Linked DNA regions of Alligator mississippiensis. The protein of the gene in region 2 binds, or shares a complex with, the protein of the main gene of each other region. Links are inferred from orthologs where the notes say so. Each region holds a gene or a part of one and is shown on either strand. Other genes may lie near its edges.

Evidence for each region.
Region 1: WASHC5 (region 2) and WASHC1 share a complex: the UniProt entries of both Homo sapiens proteins name them as parts of the WASH core complex. The link is inferred for Alligator mississippiensis from reciprocal best matches to the Homo sapiens genes WASHC5 and WASHC1.
Region 3: WASHC5 (region 2) and WASHC3 share a complex: the UniProt entries of both Homo sapiens proteins name them as parts of the WASH core complex. The link is inferred for Alligator mississippiensis from reciprocal best matches to the Homo sapiens genes WASHC5 and WASHC3.

Annotation. Positions count from the first base shown.
Region 1 is NC_081827.1:115,294,777-115,302,865, forward strand, and holds the start of WASHC1 (WASH complex subunit 1), read right to left. Parts: upstream 3,057-8,089; 5' UTR 3,030-3,056; coding exon 2,951-3,029; intron 2,932-2,950; exon of another isoform or gene 2,818-2,931; intron 1-2,817. UniProt on the Homo sapiens protein: Acts as a component of the WASH core complex that functions as a nucleation-promoting factor (NPF) at the surface of endosomes, where it recruits and activates the Arp2/3 complex to induce actin polymerization, playing a key role in the fission of tubules that serve as transport intermediates during endosome sorting.
Region 2 is NC_081826.1:19,248,474-19,255,943, forward strand, and holds the start of WASHC5 (WASH complex subunit 5), read left to right. Parts: upstream 1-4,397; 5' UTR 4,398-4,457; intron 4,458-7,470. UniProt on the Homo sapiens protein: Acts as a component of the WASH core complex that functions as a nucleation-promoting factor (NPF) at the surface of endosomes, where it recruits and activates the Arp2/3 complex to induce actin polymerization, playing a key role in the fission of tubules that serve as transport intermediates during endosome sorting.
Region 3 is NC_081827.1:107,401,222-107,408,431, forward strand, and holds the start of WASHC3 (WASH complex subunit 3), read left to right. Parts: upstream 1-4,173; 5' UTR 4,174-4,233; coding exon 4,234-4,284; intron 4,285-7,137; coding exon 7,138-7,210. UniProt on the Homo sapiens protein: Acts as a component of the WASH core complex that functions as a nucleation-promoting factor (NPF) at the surface of endosomes, where it recruits and activates the Arp2/3 complex to induce actin polymerization, playing a key role in the fission of tubules that serve as transport intermediates during endosome sorting.

The DNA.
Region 1 (8,089 bases), on a different chromosome or scaffold from region 2:
AGCTCTTTCTGCTTCCCAAACAAGTTGAAGGAAATGACCAAACATAATTAAACACATATCATATCAAGCAGACTGAAAGACCCCCGGTCATCCTTTCCAAATCACAACAGCTGAAGCAGAGCATGAGAGGCTAGTAATACCAGAACAAAATCCATGCAAAGGGACACGACAATGCAGTAAGTTTCTTGAAGGAGACACCAAAGTTAGTTTGCTTCTAGACCTTGCAGGGGGCCAAGGAAATGATTTCTAGTCTGTTCCAGAGCAATCCCTGCGCTCTTGGAAGACCAAATGTTTCAAGGAGTTGAAACAGATACAGAGCCTCTCAGTTTCCCTTTTTTCAAGACACTTTCACCAAGACTCCAAGTCATTACCAATGATGGCTGCCAGGCAGTCTAAGTGAAAGGGGCAGACGCTTCCTCAACCTGACAAAGGGCTTTTGTGCCTAAAAGCTTGCTAAGAAGAATTTTTCCAACTATTTGAGTGGGCTAATAAAAGATATTGGATTTACCCAAAGAACTTTGTCTGCCTAGGGGCTTGTGGTCTCACTCCAGCCTGTAGCTGAGGAACATTTACATCATGTGAAGCACAATGACAGCATGCGCCAATGGGAACCTTGGTTGGTACAGCAAAAAGACAAATGGGTTGGGAGAACCAGCTTATTCTTCCTTAAAGTACACAAGTTTTACTATTTGAAGAACAATTGCAGTGCTGTAGGAGAGATAACGGCACTGAACATACCAACTATTCTGCCAGGAAAGGCTCAAGCATTGTAAAAGTGCTCAGCATTTAAGTCACTTTATAAAACCTCATCACGAAAGGTTTGTGCACGTGGAGAGGAGGGAGATGATGGACTGTGCTTAGTACTAAGACTCGACAGCCCTTTTTTTTTTTTTTTTTTTTTTACAGTATTCATTATGCTGGTCAGCAGTGCCCCTCTGCATACACAGCCAGGTTCAATACCACTGCAATTTTATCACCGTTGGCTGACTCATTCTTCATTTTGAACATCAGAGAATTTTAGTACAATAAATGTATTTCACCACAACAGCATTTGTGTTCATTTTACAAACATTACCAATGCATTTTTATTTGACAAATAATTGCCCCTCCACAGCTAACCGTGACAAGAGCAGTGTGTATTTTAGTCAATGGTTTGAAATAGTCCTTTAAGCACAATGCACATTTAACATCAAAATTTGTATTGTAACGTGTGTGTGTGTGTGTGTGTGTGTGTGTGTTGAATAAGAATTAATTATTTTGATGCAATGCAGAAATAAAAGTTAAGTTTTGCATAATCTAGTGGCATTCTTCCTATTAGCTGACTGGTTAGGAGCAACTGCTTGACATACAGATGAATAACTATTCTGGAAAATTATACATCACAATGCTAATGCAAACTAGCATCTGACTTTCTGGATAATGACAACTTAACTAGCTCACAGCCTGCAGTCCCTTCCCTTGTCCCTCTCTACCTCCCACCCTTCTGGGCTTTTCCTTGGTAGACTGCATTCCTGACAACCTGTTTCAGATCGATTTCCTTCTCTACTATGATGAACATACACAAATCACAATACAAATACCCTTCAGCTTTCCTCATTCCAGGGGTTCCGCAAAAGCCTCACTTCCCACACACAAACTCCAACTCAAAGCTGTGACACCGCATTGCACCCACTATAGGGTTTAAAACAGTAGACTTCACAATTCATTTCTAAGGAATGAAAAATGGGATGTAACAAAGCATGTTCAAAATTGGTCATCCAACCAAACAGGTTACACTGAATGAATCTTAGCACTATTTCATATTACCAGGCATCTCTAAGGCTCAAAGAAATCATAGATATGCCAAGTCTATCACAGCTAGAAGGCATTTTGATTCTATGTAAGACATGTTAGAGCTTAAAACAGTTTGTTAAATACACTCCTAGTGCCCTGTCCATAGCTCTTTGCTTGCCTCAGATCCAACAGGGAGGTAATGTTTTAGTTCTGTGGCACCTTTTGTGCTGGAAAGTCCCTTCAAAATGTTCCCTATCCCCAAGGAAATGTGATCACTGTGCAGGAGATGATAGTGCCTATGGCTCTGGGGAGAAGGCCAAAAGCCTGCTGAATGCAGCGGTGCCAGGCACCGGGTCAGTCTGAGGCACTTAACCGGATTCGCATTCTCAACCTCTATGTCTCCCCTTCCTAGAATGAGACTCTAGTTTCAAGGGTTGTAAAGAAAAGCCTTCCAGCCTGGAGGCAGGCATGAGCCCAGGCGGCACTGAGGCAGCGTTATCATCCACCTGTCCTTGAAGACCGCCTGGACCTGCTAGCTTGGAAGGCATCCTCCCTTCGCTGCAGTGTCCCAGTATTGCTGCCACATCGCTCCCTCGCTCTTCCATCAGAGCAAGGGGCACAGGCACTGAGACCCTCAACCCCTCCCGCTTGCAGAGGGAGAGACCAGGACGCAGAGCGCCAACGCCACCTGCCCAGGCAGAAGCAGGGCACTGGTCTCCTAGCATGAAGGTCACTGCTGCAGCCTGAGAGCTGGCCCTTCATGAACCTACGTGGCATGAAGGAGCACGGGCACAGGATGACTGCGTGAACAAGGAGCCAGGGCAGCCGTACATGGGCCTGACGTATGCCCACAAGTGCCCACAGGCATGCGCGCCACCACACACCCAGGCGTGTGCACACATGAACCCACGCATGCTCGCACACATGTGCATGTTCTCACGCACCCACGCATACCCACAAACATGCTCGTGCACACACGCACCCACGGGTGCTCAGACATGCGCGTGTGCGCACGCGGGGGCACACGCGCACACGTGTGCACACCTGCTCATCCTGCCACGGGGTCTTACACCGGCGGCAGCAACAGGCAGCGGCCGGGCCAGGGCGCCCCCCGCAGCGCAGGGGGCCCAGCCGCCCGGGGGAACGCAGCGCCGCACCTCCTCTCGCAGCGCCTCACCTGCCACGGGCGGGACACGCCCCCTCCCCCGCTGCTCGCCCCAGGACCCGGCGGGGAAGCTACCCCCTCCGGCGTTCATTCACTTCCGCCCCAATGAAGCATCACTTCCGCCCCTACTTGGCATCACTTCCGTTTGCGCCTAGGTCCCGCTTCGTTCTAGAACGGTTCCCTCCTCTACAGGCAGGCAGCGTCCCGCAGTGCGCAGGCGTGATTTGGAACGCGGCGGCTTGGCGGTTGCTGGGCTATTCTGCCAGGGGAGGGGGCAGCTTGCTAGTGGGAGCATGGGGCAGGCTGGGGCTCTTTGCCCTGGGCAGCTGCATCGCCCCCCCTCCCCCCCCCCCCCCAGCAGTGTTGCCAGCATTCACGAGCTGGCCCCTGCAGGGAGCAAGGGTCTTATGGGTTTTGTGGCAATATTTACTGTACTGAGCCCATGCAGCAAGTGCTATGGCTGCTCCTAGTGCTAACACCTTGAAGGGCCTGAGAGGACCACACTGTGCTCCAGAGCCGCGCGTCCCACCTGCTGCCTTCCTCCACAACTTGGGAATGCTGCTGATGCGTGCCTCGAGGTGCACCGTGGCCATACCAACTGCTGGCAAAAGTTCTGCCAAACTGCCTGTGCACCTCTGCACGCTCATGGCACACAGTGCAGCTCTGCTTTGCACCGTGACCTCTGGAATAGCTGGTACCCAGTCCAGGAGTATCTATCTACATGGTGGCAGCGGAAGCCTCGCTCTGTGCTGCAGAGAGGCTGTGCCACCGCAGACTGGCTTTGAGCCAGAACTCGGGAGTTTTGCTGGCAGAGCTCTTGTTGTGGAGAAGAGTCACCTGCCCATGCTTCCCTATCGTAACACCCTTCTGCTTAGCTGTAACGAAAGGGAAGGAGGTCACGGTCCCCTTGGCCTGGTTGCAACCCTCAGGCTGACAGCTTCTACCTTGACAGGACGTCCCTTATAACTAGGGTAGCCATACATCCCAGTTTGGCTGGGACAGTGCTGTATTTTGTAGGTCCTCTTGGCATCCCAGCCGGTTGGTGAAATTGAAACGAAAGTCCTGGAATCGGCCACCTAACATGATTGCTTCTTTCTCTGCTGACTCTACTGAGCATGAGTATACAGCAGCAGAGCCAGCCTTAGGGAAAAGGGTGCCCTGGGTGAACTTGTACTTTGGAACCCCTTTCCTCCCTCCTCCACCCAGGTCAGCAGCGCTGCTGCAGGCTTGGGCATGCGGTGCAGTCCAGAAGGAAGGTAGGCAGGCATTGTTGCTACTGTGCAGGAGCAAGGTGTGCAGACTGCCTCAGGTACCACCCGGCCCACACGTTCCCTGCTTGGCTCCTGAGCAGCATCTGGAGGTGCAGGGGGTCAGCTAGAGGTAGGGGAGCAGGCCAGGCTGGGCACTGCTCCAGTTTGCCCATCTTGCTCCAGCACAGCAGCAACCTGCCTGGCACACCATGCCACTCTTTCACTTGGTTTTCTTTAAAATAATATGGTCATCATGCCTATAGCCATCCTTTGTGTTTACATTGCCAACCTTGCTTCTGGATGCCTTTCTGCTTCTCTCTGTCTCAGCTTTGGGGAAAGATGAGAAAGAAGGAATATCTGGCTTGTGCCTTTGCCTCATCTCCCACCAATGGACCTGGGTGATATTATACTGCCTTTTAAAAGTGATGAACATTTGTTCAAATATTTTAATGAGTTTTCATTGGTTATGCTTGCTCCCTTTTCACATAGACACAGAAAGGAAACCTATCTGAGCAAACAGTGTTTGCTGGCACAAACATTCTTGAAAACTGAATCTCAAAGCGGTATGTGCAAATATTAATCATAATGAAGTTTGAGGGTCCATGTGCAAGTCATCCTGCCAGAGGTGTCTGCATGCACATCTAGGATCAGAAACAATTCCATGCGTCTTATCTAACTGGTTACAACTTAATCAGTGCTATTTGAATAGCAAAGATTAAGTACTACCAAGAATGGTTGATGCATAGATTTAAAGCCAATGCACAGAAAGCAACACCCCCCCCCCCACACACACGGATTACTCAAATAATTTCAAATTGTGAATATATTTAAGGAAATCATGATCTGCTCATGCATATTCACAGGGAAAAGGCTAAATTCATTACATAAATTACTTACTGCACATTTTTCACACTGTTCCACTCATTTGCGGTAGGAACCATTGTCATGAACATTTGTTGCAGGCTAAGGCAGAGAGCATTATTAAATATGATGAAATTGCAAAGCAAATTAGCAGCCAGCAGCCTAACATTTCATGAGCCCACGAGAGGTTAAGTGCAGTGCTGGTGCCTGTGAAGTCTTAATGAGGGGACCAGGCCACTGACCTGTGTAGAGCTTAAAGGGTACTGAAAGGACAAGGAGATAGGGCACAGGGTGAGACTGGGTGAAAATCTCGGAGACGAAGAAGTTATGAGAAATGTAAAAGTCTGCCAGAAACTATGCAGAGAAGGAAAGCAATAAGACCTAGCAGAATCTGAGCAAGGAGCATGTGTGTGGGTGTCAAGACCTGTCAGAAACAGAATAGGGGAGCGGATGTAGAAGCAGCAATCCAATCTATTCTGATCCATTTTTATTTATATACTGCTGATGGAAAGCCCTTCAAGTGCTTTACAATTACTCAGATAAAAATTCAATTCAATACACTCTGGAAATTCAAAGCAAAGAGAGAGGAGGTGGGTGCTGGGTTGGGGCAGCCCCACAGAGAATGAGAGAAGAAAGGTAGTAACAGACCTGCTGCAGGCAGATGGCAGAGAAAGAATTAACAGAATTGGGCTGATAAAATGAAGACTGAGAACCCCAGTATGCCCGGGGGGGGGGGGGGGGGGGGGGGGCAAGAGAGCAGTAAGACTGGGGTCTACTAAGAACTGGTAGCAGGATTGGCATAATCCCAGTAAAACACTGGTGGCAGGTAGGAAGTAATAATATATTTATCTCCACTACTGATTATGTATCAAAAACCTACCCCCTGGAGACAAGGCTCAGGGAACTGGAAGATATGTTTGGACTGGGCCATTAAAAAAATCTTGAGGCAAATGAGAAAAGCAGCTGTTTTACCAGCATTTAATTCAGCTAAAAAAGCAAGCTGACAGGGCTCACATCTGTCTTACTTCATCTCTCTACCCACACAATTTGTCAGCAGATAGAGTGGCATCACTCTCAGCCAGTGAAACAATGGATAAAAATCCATATCTCTCCAGAACAATTTTCTTTGACTGTTTAATGCTCCTGAGGACAGGACCCAGTTACATAAACTGGTACAGAGAGCTGATTAATCCAGCTACAGGCTTCATTCTTCCTGCCAGTACTCCGCATTGGCAAATTTGAGTAAACAAAATAAAAATTGGATAGTATATTGTTCTTTTCCCTGATTAAGGGCATAGTACTGCCCATTGTTTCATAAAATAGGTAAGATATAGAGAGCTCCCTCTCCCTGTGCAATCAACAGGGCCTACTTTTTCTAGAGTGCAAGGAGGTAGGTCTAGCTAATTTGCCAAACCATGCATCACATCCCTGAAAGGGCATTGTCTGTAGGCTAGAGAGTATGTCTGGGCTGGCGTTCAGTCAGCTACTGCACAAGATGACACCCACAGGACACAAGAAGAGCAGGCCTACTATTTGTAATTTGGGGAGCTGTAAATAGCACCTAACACAGTGCATTGTGACATGCTTTTTCAGCCATCTCACTGCTAGTGGCAGAGTGCCCTTAACCTGTTTAACAAAACCAGATGTTTGGCCTGATTCTCCAAGTTGGCTGTCCTTATGCTTTGCCTGCTGTGGCTTGTCAGAAACAGAAGCCTAACTGGGCGCAAGTGGCTGATCTGGAGAAGCTAAAGGGGCACTTAGATTTCCCCATGCTTTTTCAGTACTTTCAAAGCTCTCGCTATATAATTATCTACAGGTCTTAGTCTGTCTGCTGGAGTCTCCATTACAGTAATATTTAAACACTTTCACAGAGTCCAGAGTACTTACAATAGACTGGGCTTTTTCCCCCTGTAAGCTTGACTCACTACTGATATCTATACAGAAATCCATCATTCATTTATACTTCTATCATAGACATAAACTCATGTTTAAAAAACAACACTTGCAATTCATTTGGACAATTTTTCATTTTTGTGAAACTGTACCCTTAATCTAGGAAGTTTTTTCCTAGGTAAAAAATATCAAATAGCTGAGCACCTTGTTTAATTTGTTCTTTCTGGTGCTGCAATGTCCCTTAGCAAACACAGCCACATTCAGCAAGTAATACATACTTCTGTTTTCTCAGCTGAAAAATATGAATAATATTGATCAACCTTTGAGTTCTGACCATGAAGAATCTCCATCTTTGGAAATTTTCAAGCGTAGATTGCACCAACACTTGGCTGGGATGGTTTAGTTAGGGACAATTTTCCTTGAGCAGGGTACTGGACTAAATTCCCTTTCAGTCCTACTTTCTTGTATCCTATGAGATCTTCAGCCTGAAAAGTGCCAAGTGCTATTGTTATACGTTGCACCAAGTTTTAATAAGAGAACTCCAGCAACTGAAAAGAAGGTGTGGAAAAGGAAGGTAAGCAGAACTTTGGGTGTGTGCAGGTACATGTATTTTTTGGAGGTGACTCAAGTTTCTCCTGATCTGTTGAATACCACTTGCCAAATTGTAACAAGCTGATTCTCACCTTTGCACAGGGTCAGGCCAAAGCCAGAAAACAGATCAGCTTTAACTGCAGAATTCCCTGCAATTTGAAATTTCTTCAGATCTGAGGTTTGGAACTGAACTAGCCTGATAGTCAGGGATGTTTGGACCTCAGGCTTTGATTCAGGCCCAACACTAATTTTCCCCATACGGTAACAGACATAAGAATGGCTTACAATAAATGGGGAGCTCTTCCTAGTTCTGTTCCCTAATCAGTTTTGGATAGGTAGCATTTCCCTTTAATGCATAGTATTTCTCAGTACATGCTTCCATAATAGTGGGATCACACAACACTAAACAATGTGTCATATTTGTCAGGAAATAAAACAAAATTTTAAAAGGTGCCACAGGTGCTCATAAATACACATCTGCACCACTGAGGACACCCAAACAACTAACACTGATGCAAAACGGGGTCACTCCTTCCCACCATAACCTACCTCCCAG
Region 2 (7,470 bases):
TCTCTCTCTCTCCCTCTCAGCAAAGGAGTCATTCAGTAATGCTTGGTGCCACTAGGTCATTGGGGCACATGAATAACATTTGTCTTTTTTGCTACCCGATGAACATCTCAATTCCCATTGCTATACTTACTATAGTCCAGCTCTGGCCTACTGCCTTCTCTCTGTTGGTATGCTTTTTGCCACACAAGATGCAACTTCCCACCTGTAATGGGATAGCTTGATCCTACAGTTTTGTTCAATTGCTCACCATTAATCAATAGCCACCCTCAATACCAGCTCTCATTTCACTATGCTCTGACCACAGGGAGTGAAGCATAGATCTGTGGCGAAGAGTCCTATATTTTTAAGAAGACCAAAGTAAAGACCAAGCCTGTTGCATTAAATTTAGGGATGCACTGCAAAGTTTTCTTTGGCCAATACCAATGGCCAATTATTAATCAGCCATATCAGCCGATAAGGATCCAACTGCCGATATGCAGCCTGGCAGCTTGGAGAGCAGGACCAGTAAGTCTGTGGGGGAAGGAGCATGGAGGGTGCAGATCAAGGTCCCACAGCGAAGGAAGGAGTGGGACCGGGGCAGAGGCACGGGCAAGCGCGGAACGGAGCCGCCTGCCTCCATGCCCCCTGTGCACTGTCCCACCTCAGCTGGGCAATGCCTACCTCTGACCCTGCCCCAGCTCCTACCCCATTCCCTGTCTCATTGTGGGGGCCTCAATCTGCCAGCCCTCGATTCTACACAGCCCCCACTTTTTGGCACTCCAGAATTTGACACTGATGCCAGCAGGACATATAGACCATAAGAATTGAGCTTTATTGTCATGCTACCTCCCCATCTGCTGGGACTCAAGGATGCAAGTTCACCAAGACTGGACCTTTATCGCCCTCACTCTGAGGTGTCCTGGAGAGAGCAAGCCAGGGACCAGACCAAGGACTCTACAATCTTTCAGGACTGTGACTTGCTTTCCTGCTGCTAGGCACAATGCTGTGTACCCTTTCCTTTTTTTTTTGTCTTCTTTTTAGTAAGTATGGCCTTGCCAGCCAAAACTGTCTCTCTGAAACACTGTTGTGACCTCAAAACCAGAGACAACTAAAAGCAGTCTATGAGTACCAAATAGCTTGGTACTCATACAAATTTGCCTAGCCCTCAAGTGGCTGATAAACCATAAGCTGTGTCTGTCAGTTACTAGCAGCAAAACTGCAAGTAAGGCAAAATGCACTTTCTGGTGCTAGCTATCTTTGCTGCTCTACTCTTTCCCTTTTTGCTTATGTCTTGCTCATCTTTAAAGAAGCAGGCTCAGACTCCAACAGATTCAGTCCAGCACAACTTAAGCTTCTCTTTTCCCCTAAGAAGAGTAGTTAATACTATATTCAATATAATCTAAAAGACTGTCAAACCAGAGGCGGGAAGAGTTCCTTTAAAAAAAAACACCTGTCTCTGAAGATCAAGGAGACTTCCTGGGTTACTGAGTCCAGTTCCCTGCTTTTGCAGGCAATAATTCTATTAAAAAGCTACTTTAAACCCTCAGATCAACTACAGGGTACAATATGTGCAATGCTAAGAATACCCTATAACCTATTGTAAGTAAAAGCAGAGGAGACTAGGGTTCTCCCCAGACCTTGCCACAAAGATATAAAAGTGATTAGTTAATGTAGGCTGAGAGGATCCTTGGAATCAAGCTCTAAGCTACAGAAGGCACACCACACACATATATGCATAGAGATGCATGAACACACTCTGTCCCAATCTGACCTAAGGGAAAAACTGCTTTCTGAGTCTAAATTAGGAGATCAATATACATCTGAGCAAAAGAATAAAACTCTGTGGCTTTTTTTAAATAACAACAGAAGCATCAGTGCACCTGACTCAAACCCGCACCTCAGCTGTAGCCAACGTTCCAGTGTTCAGATAAATGCAAGGAAAACAAAAATGAAGCCAAGAGCATTTACAAGGAGAATGGGGGGTGAGAACTTTCCTGGCTGAACTGGCAATTAGCAAAACCCACGAAATGCACCTGCCACACTGCAAAAAGAGGCATTTCAACATGGGCACTGCAAACACAAGTCACACCAACTGATTGAGTCACAACTCCCTATCCTATTATGTCAACCATCCATAAAGTTTTCCAGCTCAATCTTGAAGGGATTCAAGTACTTTTCCCCCAATCATCACTGCCTGCTTACAGATGTAAAAAACAAAAAGACCCCCCAAAACAGCACTTCAAATTCACAGCGCCCCTGCACTGAGCACAGCACATGCTCAGAAGAGGCATTGCATTAGTTTGCCCCAGATTGCCCAATGTCTGTATAAATTGGGCACTCTGGTGGGTTTTTTTCTGGTGCTTTTATCTACTAGCTGATTGAATCCTTCTAGCTGTTAGATAAAAGTGCCGAAAAGCCCTGCTGAAGTGCACAATCCATACAGGTGCTACAGAGCCAGATTGAACTAACACGCTGCTTCTTCACATAAAGCACTGGGTTTTTATTCACGTCTCAGCAGCCACTTTGCTTGGAAAGCTGTTTCTAAACATGACTTAAGTCATTTCTCTGCTTGTTTGTTTTAATGACAAAGGATAAATATATTCTTTATTCTCTCTCTCTCCCCCCTCCCATCCATCCTTCTCATCTACTGAGAAACAAGGTCTTCAGACAAGATTTACATGACACAGAGAGAGAATTTGAAGACCAGCTCACAAGTATGCCTCTGTTGTGATACTCTACACACTTCTAGGGACACTGCATCAATTTTCTCCCTTGAAAAATTATTCTATTGCTTAAATCACCTTTGCTATTAGAAAGTGTTTCCCCACCTCTTAAAAAACAAATCCCTTTTCTGTAGCCTAAGGTGTTCCATTCATTCTTATAAGCACCTACTCTACTGTTCATCTGCTGCTGCCATGCGCATAACATATTTCATTTCATTTTCAGGTGTTCCTCCCTAGTAAATAACCCGGGTCTGCTCCTGCTTTTCAGTTTCATGAAAACGGAATTGACCTGATTGTTTTCAGTTTCACTGCTGCCCACTCAGAAAACCAGGACACTGGAAGACTGCAAGGCAACTGTCAAGATTTTGGTCACTTTTACTCTGCTGAAGCTTGTGAGCACTGCCTTTACTCAGAGCAAAGGCAGTGGGGTTGTGACTCACTGGCAGGCAGAAAGAAAGCACTGCATCTGCTTAATGCTGGCTTGTTTGGAAGGAAAATTTAGGCTTTAGGTTTTAAGGAGCCATGTGAGGACCCCTTAGCCAGCTCTGAACTCAGCTGGAAGAGTCCCGCACGCTCCCTTTGGGTAGAAACTTTCCGACAGCTGCCCAGAGCTTCTGCAAAGCACAAACTTTTTCTTAAACACATGTGCCACAAGCAGCCATACACCACATGGGCCACAGCAGGAGGACCCCCAAACTGTACTGCACAAGTAAGTAATCCCCACCTTGCTACACCATGTGTGTGGGCAGCTCCCCCACGGATTGTGCACCCCGCTGCGGGCTCCCTGCTACACTGACTGCCAGCTGCACCGCCTGCCCCCTGGGATGTGCAGGCTGCAAAAGCCAGAGGGCGACAGGAAGCCCAGAGCCAGGAGCTGTGCAGGGAACGGTGACAGGGTGGGAGCCTGGGGGGGCTGCAGCTTAACCCATCACCGGCTTCATGGTTTAAAATAACAAAGGACTTTTCTCACAATAAATCAGCGGGGGCCAACCACTCTGCTAGGCAGGCCTCAAATTAGCTCTGTGGTCTCCCCAAGTACCACTCCCCTCCCCCCGTCTGACCTACTGCTCCGCTTTCTGCTCCCTGCCCAACCTGTCACACGCCACTCAGGCGGCGCAGGGCGGCCATCCCCACACGAAGCCAGGCCGCCCCACTTCACCCGGCAGCTCACGCTCCGCAGAAGCGACCGGCAACCGCAGACCCTCGCGCTCCACGGAGGTGAGCGGGAGTTTCCCGCGGGAGTCCAGAGCCGCCAAGGGCTCCGCGCGACATCTTCGAGGCGGCACTGAACTCCGAGGGGACGCTCCCACCCAAAGGCGCGGCGGCGCTCACCGCTCCAGACGCGAGTCCCCTCAGATGACGATGACGACAACGAAGCCTCTCAGCTTTGCCTCTTTTGTGCCTGCGAAAAAAATAACAGAGCTGCTTTTCTGCCTCGGGTGCCAGAGTCCTGTGGGACACCCGCCCTGGCAGCCCCGTCTGCACCACTGAGGGGGAGCCCAACGCACCCCGGGGTGCCACGAAGGCCCTCAACTGTTGCCTGCGGGGCCTGGCCGGGGGGCAGTGGCGGGGGCTGGGGAAGGGGCTACGACCCTCCCTTCCCTTCCCTTCCCTTCCCTCCCCCAGCACCCACCTGCGGCCCGGCCCAGGCCCGCGCCCGCGCCGGCAGGCCCCGCCTCGTCCGCTCACGTGACACCGCTCACGTGACGGGAGGCCCGGCCCGGCTCGGCCCGGCCGCGGAGGCCGCTGCGAGCGGTGAGTGCGGGACGGGTGACGGTTGGAGGCGGTTGGGGGGTCAGGGCACGGCGGTTGGTGGGGGCGGGGCTACACCGGGGCGGGCGAGGAAAGGTCTTGGCCCCAAATTGGGCTGCCCCAGGACGAGCTGCCCTGGGGGTCGCTGCTCCCTGGGGGGGGACCGGGCATGTGGCGGGCGGGCGGGCGGGGAAGGTCTTCTGACTGAGACACGCGTGTGTGTGAAGCGCCTCCCCGAACAGGCTGTCGCCCGAAAAGGCGCGTGTCCCAGGCCTCTTGCCCCTTTCACGGGGCCGGGCAGCGGGGCTTGTGAATTGGGACCTGCCCGTGCAAACTGGAGCAGGCGTGGTCTGTGCCAACTGTGAACTCGGAAGAAACATTTTAGGAACTGACTGAAAATACAACCCTGGATGGAGTGAGACCGGCGGCGGGCAAAACGCAGGCTGGATGTGGAGGGACTTTGGTGCTGTTGGGCCCGTGGCGCGTGTCCCGCCACCCCGGGGCGTGCAGTGTGGCTGGCGTGGCTCCTTCTGGTTACTGCCACCAGCCGCAGGGAGACGGGCAGGGACCAGTGTGCGCAGCCCCGACCCCAGCCCACCCCGCACCCTCTGTGCACCTGCGCCGGCCGGAGCAGACCAGCCAGGACCCATGCGTGCAGCTCCAGCTCGCCTGCCCGCCCGCCCACGAAGAGCAGCAGTGGCGGCCTGGTGCTGGGCACCAGGTGTGGGTCCAGGCGGCCGCAGCAAGACGGTCCCGGCAGCAGAGAGTGGGGGGCGGCTGCTTTTCCCCCATCCTCAGTAGCCGCTTCTGCGGGGATGCTGCTGTCCATCATAGGTGGGCCGGTCTGGAGCAGGTGTGGGGTGGGCCGGGGCTGTGCACATTTGTGAGCTGGCCTGGAGCTGGTCCGCTCTGGCTGGGACGGGGCCGGGAACGGGGCTGTGCGCTTGGTTTCTGGCTGGTTTGGAGCAGGTCCGCTCCAGCCAGGGTGAGTTCAGAGCAGGCGTGGGGTGGGCTGGGGCCAGGACTGTGCTTAGCAGCTAGCAGACACTGTTGGTGGTGGCAGTGGCAGGGAGGAACTGCAGGGCCCATGGACTCTGGCTTTGGTGAGCTGTTGGGGGTGGGTGCTGACCAGCCTCCAACAGCTCCTCAAAACTGCCTATGCGGCCTGTGGGTCCAAATAATTGCCCACCCCAAGCTAAACTGTTCTCGGTGATGGCAGATGACAGAACAAGGAGCAATGGTCTCAAGTTGCAGCAAGGGCAGTTTAGGTTAGATATAAGGAAAAACTTTCGTGCCGGAAAGGTAGTACGGCACTGGAACAGGTTACCCAGAGACATGCTGGACTTTCCACCCTTGGAGGTTTTTAAGACCTGGCTTGACAAAGCCTTGGTTGGGATGATATAGTTGGATGGTCCTGCTTTGAACAGAGGGTTGGGTCAAGGGTCCCAAACTTTTTAGATTGAGGACTGGCAAACTGCGGACTGGAAGTCGCCGCAGACCGGCAGCCAACCCTTTTTTATGCTGAATCCGCCACATGCCGGTCACTTCCAGTCCGCAGTCACTTCCAGTGACACCGTGCAGGGCCCCACGGCAAGAACTTCTAACCGGAACAACCGTAAAGACACTTGCACCCAGCGGGCGGGAGGGAGGGAGCAAACCTCAAACGCAGCAGCCACTGCCGCAAGATAGGATGGGCCAGCCCTCCTGCATACCAGCATCCAACCCTTTGCGGCCCAGCACCGGGTCATGGCCTGGGGCTTGAAAACCCCTGGACTAGATGACCTCCTGAGGTCCCTGCCAACCCTAATTTTCTATGATTCTGTGAAAAGCTCAAGTTTCTCCAGCCAGTTAGTCTTAAAGGTGCCACCCTGCTCTGCCTTCTGCCTGACTTCAGACTACCACTCCCACAGCTGACTTTCTGGAAAGAAAGAAAAGTGGAAGTGACTTTGTGTATTTCCCATTGACTGAGCTGAGAGACAAATGAAGGGAAAACAAATGAGTTAGGGCTGAATTTGGTAATGCCTGTATTTTTATTTTGGCAAAGTACTTAGTCATGTTAGTCTGAAGTCAGGCAGAACACAAGGTAGACTTGTACCATATAGAATAGCTATTCAAATATGCTGTGTAGCATCTGAAAAAGTGAGCTGTTGCTTATGAAGGCTTATGCATCTCTTTAAGGTGTAATTTTGTTCTTCCTTCTGCATTTTGATTTGTTATTCCTGAAATAATGCCAAAAAAATGTTATTTGAGCAGACGTTCTGCTCTATAATTTATTTAAAATTCTAGCAACAATTGCAGATTAGGTTTCCAGAGAGCTGGTTTTTGTTTCCAGCTCTGCCATAGATTTGCTGTGAGATCTCAGACAAGTCGTATAACCTCCCTGTGGCTCAGCTAATTTATCTGTACTATAGAATAATTGTGGTTACCCAGCGTGTTAATAAGGGTTGTACAGTAAATCATCTCTGTCAACTATGATGGAAAGAGATTGTGTCATGCTTTTTTTTGTTTTACTGGGTAAAATAAGATTTCTGATTTGAAGAGAGATTACTGACATGTTACCTTATCTATAATACGGAAGTTTGGGATAAACAGATACTGGTTTGGTAATAAACAAAGGGCCCTGAACTGCATTCAGTTTCCATACACTCCAAGTGTTTAACCACATTGACGAACTGTCATGGTGCACTATGAAAATAGTTTCTATGCTCATCCTTTACAGTTTCTAAACTCATCTTGTACAGTACCAACTTTGTAATGGTGTTCGGAATAGATAGACTCAACTTTATAAGCGTCTGAGACTATTTTGTCCTTTAGCAGTTGTTCTAAAATCTTTTGGTATTGGAAGTTGTGCAGCTGTTTCTCATAAGCTGATGATGCTAGCTAAGTGTTTTGTACACACTGAAAATAGACTACATCGTGTTTTATTTATAAGCCATCTACTCTGAGATTCTGGAGGACACAGAGTTCTAATACAGTAGCTTTTCCAGTTGAATCCAGTCATCAAAAATATGAATAT
Region 3 (7,210 bases), on a different chromosome or scaffold from region 2:
TGAATCCATGCTGACTGTTCCTAATCACCTTCTTCTCCAAGTGCTTCGAGATGGATTCCTTGAGGATCTGCACCCTTGTGTGCCTCCCATCCAGCCCCATGGACTTGTACACATCCAGCTTTTCTAAACAGTCCCTAACCTGTTCTTTTGCCACTGTTGACTGCTCCCCTCCTCCCCAAACTGTGCTGCCCAATGCAGTAGTCTAAGAACTAACTTTGCCCATGAAGACTGAGGAAAAATAGGTATTGAGTATATCAGCATTTTGTGCATCCTCTGTCACAAGGTTCCTCCCCCATTCAGTAAGGGACCCACACTTTCCCTGATCCTTCTCTTGCTATCAACATACTTGTCAAAACCCTTCTTGTCACCCTTCATATCCCTTGCTAACTTCAATTTCAATTGCACTTTGGCCAGTGGCGTACCGTGGGTCTCCTGCACCCGGGGGCCAATTCTTACATTTGCACCCCCTCCCTCCCCAGTCCACGGCCAATCACCGAGTGAGGAGGGGGATCCCCCAGGGGTCAATCACCAAGCCTGGAAACCGGAAGTGCCGGTGCGGGGCCAAGTTGCCTCGACCCCCACCCAGCCAGCACCCAAGGACATGCCCCGCCCCCCGTCAGTACACCACTGGCTTTTCTCTTCCTGACTTCATCCCTGCATGCCCAAGCAATGCTTTTATATTCTTCACTAGTTATTTGTCCAAGTCTCCACTTCTTAGAAGCTTCCTTTTTGTGATTTAGTTTACTGAAGAGTACCCTCCTAAGCCAAGCTGGTCTGTCATACTTGCTAGTCTTCCTGTACATCAGGATGGTTTGTTCCTGCACTCTCAGTAAGGCTTCTTTAGAGTGCAGCCTAGACTCCTCTTCCCCTCAGACTGGCTTCCCAGGGGATTCTGCCCAGGAGTTCCCTGAGCGAGTTGAAGATGCTTTTCTGAAGTCCAGAGTCCTTATTCTGCTGCTCTCCATCTTTCCTTTCTTCAGGACCCTGAACTCAATCATCTTGTGGTCACTGCTGCCCAAGTTGCCATCCACTACTACATTCCTTATCAATTCTTCCCTGTTCGTGAGCAGCGGGTCAAGAAGAGCACAGCCCTACTTGGCCGCTTCAGTACTTGCACCCGGAAGTTGACCCCAACACTCTCCAAAAACTTCCTAGAGTGCCTGTGCACTGCTGTATTGCCCTCCCAGCAGATGTCAGGGTGATTGAAGTCCCCCATGAGAACCAGGGCTTGTGATCAGGAAACTTCTGCTAGCTGTTTGAAGAAAGCCTCATCCACCACTTCTTCCTGGTCTGTTGGTCTATAGCAGACCCCCAACACAACATCACCCTTGTTGCTCTCTCCTCTTACCCTAACCCAGAGGCTTTCAACAGGCCTATCTCCAGTTTCATACTGGATCTGTGAAGAATCATATGGCTCTTTCACATACAGCGCAACTCCTGCTCCTCTTCTCCCCTGCCTGTCCTTCCTGAACAGTTTGTACCCATCCACAAGTATCTTACATATAAATTGACAAATGGGCCACAGAAAAAAAATCATTACATCTGTCAGTCAAAAGATATGAAAGACAAAGACTGAATCTGCCTTCGTGAAACACAGATCTGTGAAATGCCAAATATATCTGAGAAAAATAAACCACCACTACCATAGAATTGATTCTTGCCATGGAAGTCCAAAACATGAGAGCAGTAAAATTTTTGTAATTTTCCAGATTATATAGACTTTGCTGCAAATGGCTTGGGAAATGGACATCCTCTAATTTCAGGAAAGGAATGTTTTATTTTTCTGAGTCTTTGTACCAGGAATTGGTCATTAAATGTTCACAGAATATCTAGGTTTTCCAAGGTCAGAAAAGGTCATTGTGATAATTTCGTCTGAACTCCTGTATAACACAAACCAGAAAATTCCACCCGGTAAGCCCTGTATTGCTCGGGCTGAGTTCTACCAGATCTTCTTAAACTCTTCAGGTTGATGATTTCTTATGCAAAGTCATGACCCCCTTTAATTTATGATAAAAGTAAAAGTAAAAAGTATGTCAGTGAGAACAGTGAATTTATACAATTTATCTGGGCAAGGTTGTTTCAAATAAATTTGTTCAAGGGCAAGTGTGTAGGAAGTACAGGAGTGAGATTTTCTTTACATTAAGTTGCAGCATTTTTTTTTCCAAGACCTCATGGCCTATCTGACTTTCTTCAAGAGTTGTGACCACTGGTTGAGAAACCATAAGCTACAGCAGGGGTGTCAAACTCAACCTGTGCCACAGGCTGAATGTGGATCCATGGGACAAGTGGTGGATGTGGCAGGGCTGGAGGCAGCAGCAACACAACCAACAGTTGCAGAGGTGATGGGGCAAATGGCCCTTTGTGACAATTAAGGACAGTGCAAGTGGTGGTGACAGTGGACCAACTGACTGGGGGGCAGTGTCAGCACAGCCCTCCCTCACCCATATCCAACAGCGCCCCCAATTCTGTTGTAGGCCCTACTCCCCACTAACCACGTCCTCAAATACTCTGGCCTGTCTCTAGACAGATGGAACAGTTCTTTGGGCCAGACCTGTCCTGCAGGCTGGATGACTGACACTCCTGAATTAGAAAGACATCCCATCTTGATTTGAAACCTTTGTGATGGAAATTGTTCCAAACATTAATTAAACTTCACTTTTAAAAATGTGCACCTTATTTCCACTTCCAAGTTGTCTGGCTTTGACCTTCATCCTCCAGATCTTGTTACAACTTTGCTAAATTTAAGAGATGTCTGCTTTCAGACATCTCCTGCCTGATGACTACAATCAAGTCTCCTCTTAGCCTGATTTTGGATAAAACAGACCAAGCTTCTTGAGCCCTTTCTCCAAGGCAGTTCTCCAAGACATCAGAGCATTCTGACAATTCTTTCCTGAACTCTTCTTCTATTTTCAACCCTTTTAAAACGTGGAGACAGCAAAACTGGCCAGAACGTGCCAGTAACCATTACACTGACACTATACAGGAAGACAACACCACCTTTCTGCTACAGCTTAAAACTCCTCTGTTTAGGCATTCAAGGAATAGTGCATGAGGGTGTTCATTGCAGAACTACAGTGGGGGCTGGTGTTCACAAGTTATCTGAGCCCTTGAGCCCTGTCATTGCTCCTCAGGATGCAGCTCCACCCACGGGTGGATCTAGAATTTGGAACCGGGGTGAGCTGTGTCTTCACACATAAAGCAATACATATTTTCCACCAATTAAACTAGAAGCTTTACTAATGTGCTAGGAGCCCAGGGCTGCAGTATTCAGTTTAAGATTACAGTGAAAACAAATATAATTTCATTCAAATGAGTTAAAAACAATCTGCAGGGCTGTGAAATAGGAGCTTCCGGACAATGAGCAGATAACAGCAGAAGTGCAGAACAAAGGATTCAGAGATTCAGAGATGTTAGGGGCTGGAAGGGACCTCATGAGATCACCCGATCCAGCTCCCCCACACTTGGGCAGGAAGGCCTGCTGGGGTCATCACTTAACTGGTGGAACATCAAGACCATTAAAAAGAAGAAAGCAACCTTAACACTGGTGGCATGAAGAGTTTAGAAGGGTAGATTATGATGGGTATATGATGTATTTATTATTATTATTATTATTATTATTGAAAGGGTAAGTTATACCGAGCCACGAAGTCATTGACTCCCTCAGCGCTACCTGACTAGGCATGCTACTGCCACTGCCAAAAGGAATCAAAGGTCCTGGCAGAGGTGATATCTTTTGTTAGACCAACTAGATATTTGCACCAAAAAAAATTTTTTTTAATCTTTATTTGCAAGCTTTCAACACATTTGGGGTGGAGCAGGAATCAAAGGGGGTTGTAACGCACCCCCTGGATCTGCCTCTGCCCCCCTCCCCTCAGCCCTGCTGGCTTCACTGAAGCACCCCCTGGGGGAAAAGCGGGGGAATAAGAGGCAAGGGTTTGTTAAGGTGGCATCTTTTATTGAAACAACCAAATACCGCAAATCGAGTCGGAAAAACAAGCCCTGTCCTTAATCTCAGCCCCTTCAAGAGGTGGAGACACCGGAAGTGGACGCAGGTGGCTTTTAACCACGCCTGCTTGGAGGGGCGCCTGGGCGGAACTACCACTCCCATGATGCATTCCTCTAGCGGCTCCCTCCCGCGCATGCGCAGAGCAGGGTCGACCCAGTGGAGTCGGTTTTGCTTCCGGCAGGCGGAGGTCAGAGGCTGGAAGTCGTTTCTGGCCTCTGCCCCGGGGGATGGACGAGGACGGGCTGCCCCTGGTGGGCTCCGGCATCGACCTCACCAAGGTGCGGGCTCGAAACGCAAGTGTTCGTGGGCTGAAGCCCACTTCATCAGATGCTGCAGCGGGAGGTGCTCTTCTGCTCGAAACTGAGCAGGTTTCCCCATGTAGACTTTCGGGTGCAGACCATTTCAGGTGGCTGCGCCTGGGGTCCTCTGCGGGCAGGGCCTTGGTAGTCCGAAGGCAGGCAGGAGGCAGGGTAGATCAGGCACCTTGTAGGCTATGGGAAGCTCGTGCTGTAGCTGTCTGTGTGTTGTGGATAGCCTGTGAGGTGCCAGCGTACTCTGCCTTCTGCTCTCCTGCCTGAAAGACTAACCAAAGTGGGTGGACGGATGTGGAGATATCTGTGTGTATATCGCAAGCTTTTGTGGACTGAAGCTCACTTCATCAAAGCTGTGACAAGAGGTGCTCAAAGCTGAGCAGTGTAGATATTCGCAGGAGTTCAGGGCTGGAAGGGACCTGGTGACATCAGCGGGTGCAGCCCCTGCCCCGGGGAGTCCACCTGCTGTGCCTGGTGCCGTCTGTGAGCAGGGGAGTGTTGGTCTGCAGTCCAGGAGAAGGCAGGGTAGATCAGGCACCTTATAGACTAGCCAAAGTAGGTAGATAGAGATAGTACAAGCTATGAACTTCTACAGTTAAGAGGAGGATATTAACTGATCTGTTGATCTTGGAGTTCAAAGTGTAAGGGGCCGAACAAGGTGGTAGTTAAGAAATTCTCTTTAAAGAATCACTTTTGCAAAACATGCTTTCTCTTTCCCAAATGCCTCTTTTCTTTTCTACCTCTGAGCAGTTTTGGCACAAAAAGAGCTGTCAGCAGTAAGTCCTCTGCTGCAAAAGCAGAATGCAGCAGAATACTTCATCTATTAATACTTTCCATGTAAAATTTTACTGTTTAACAAAGTAGTATTTCTCAAGTCGGTGTAGCTTTTATTTAATTTCAGGGTTCCTTATGAACTGCGAAACAGAATGCAGAACAGTTCAGATTGATTGTGGGATCCAGTCATCTCCCAGGTGTTCCTGGGAGGTGTTAAACCCAAGAGAAATATAAATATTTGCTATCCAATTTTTTTGTGAAATTGCTTGGGTTGTGGGTAACACAATGCTAAACAGAACTACAAAAGTGGAGGAGTAACTGAATAGGTGATTCCTATATTTGTCTTACACTTTTCAACTTGTTAAATGTGGACTGCTTATGGAACCACCACTATTTTTGCAATAGTCTTAGATGAGATTGGGACATAATCATAGTATTTTGATTCAGCTTTGTGTTCATATTCTCTCATTTTTACCCAAAGGTTGAGACTTTACAATATTGTTTATATTGCAGTAGCATTTGCAGGTCCAAATCAAAGCCTTATTGTACCAGATGCTGTACATCTAAGAAAAACAGAAATTCAGTGCCTCAGAAACTTCCCATTTTGGGCCTAAGTAAACATTTGCATGAATAGTTAATCCTTCTCAAAATACATAGAACCAAATGGTTCACAAGGTTAGGTTTCTTAGCCCCCTGCGAAGTGGCTGGGATTATATACAGCTGCTGCAAACAGCAGCGTGGGACTGCTGCAGTACTCCAGCTGTGGGCCATGTCTTTTATTTGAAGGGGTACTGCTTCTCTCGTCATCTGCTTGGGACTGTTGATGAGGTCTAGCTGTGTGGAGAAGTGGCACCCTTTAATATAAAAGCTGCAGCAAGCAGCTGCACGTGTGTCCTTCACTTAGCCTTCTGACAGTCAAGTTGCTATCTGATGAAATGATGAGCTCTTGCTCACACAAGCTTATACAGTATAAACTCATAAATCCGACGTGCTTGGGGTTGAGCACTTGCTGGAAATTTGAAAACGCTGGATTTTTTTGAACTGGCGTGATAGCCGGTCGCGGAGCAGGGGCGAGGGTAGCGGCAGCTGGTCCCAGAGCAGCGGCCACACATGGAGCAGTGGCACACTGTGGTGAACGGCGGAAGCAGCCACCATCTACAGACTTCTCCCTCCATGTCCAGGAGGGTGGTGGGCAGTGCCAGATTTTTGATCATTCCAGATTTTTGGTATCCAGATTTATGAGCTTATACTGTACTTCTGTCATTCAGTTAGTTTATACAAGTGATTTTCAACCAGGTACCACAGCACCCTGGGGTGCCTTGAGATCCTTTCAAGGGTGCTGTGAGGTGCCACACAGCACTGCTAGGTGTGCAAGCATGCTTCACAGTATAAACCCAGAGATTTCGAACAGGAATCCATAGTATTAAAACAGTTCTGCCCTGCTGTGGTCTTTCAGAGTTCTTTGTAACAGTAGAATTGATCTACTGTTTTTCTGCATTGAAAAAATGAGTGAAAAATAAGAGATGGCATTTTCTGAAGGTGCCTTGTGTCTAACTAACAAAGTGCATCTCTACCCTGCCTTCTGCCTGAGTTCAAACTAACATGGCTAACAACTGCTTTCTATTCCCAATTGTAACTAGATACTAGTTTATGTAAATGTACTTAATTTCCCCAGTACTAAGACCCAAAGGGAGAGACCCTGATCCACTTCCTTTTAGAGTTAGATTTTTATTTTACTGTGTTTTACGATGACTTTCAGAAAATTGCTTTTAGGTTAAAACATTCTCTTTTGTGATGAAAACCTCTTTGTTTATTCAGGTGGTATTCCCTTGTCTCTACACTCACACTTAGAAGATTAAAATATTGATTGATTTTTTTTTTTTCATGTTCCTATATTCATGGTATAGTTAGGACAAATGATTAAAATATTTTCTTAGCCTCTTTCATATAAACTTCAAAATCGGGTCTTGAATACAAGGGTAAGAATTGGAAATGCATGTTTTCTGCGTGTAAACTTTGGGGTTTTTTTTGTTTTGTGTAACATAGGTTCCAGCTATTCAGCAGAAAAGAACTGTGGCATTTCTGAACCAGTTTGTGGTTCATACAGTACAGTTTCTTA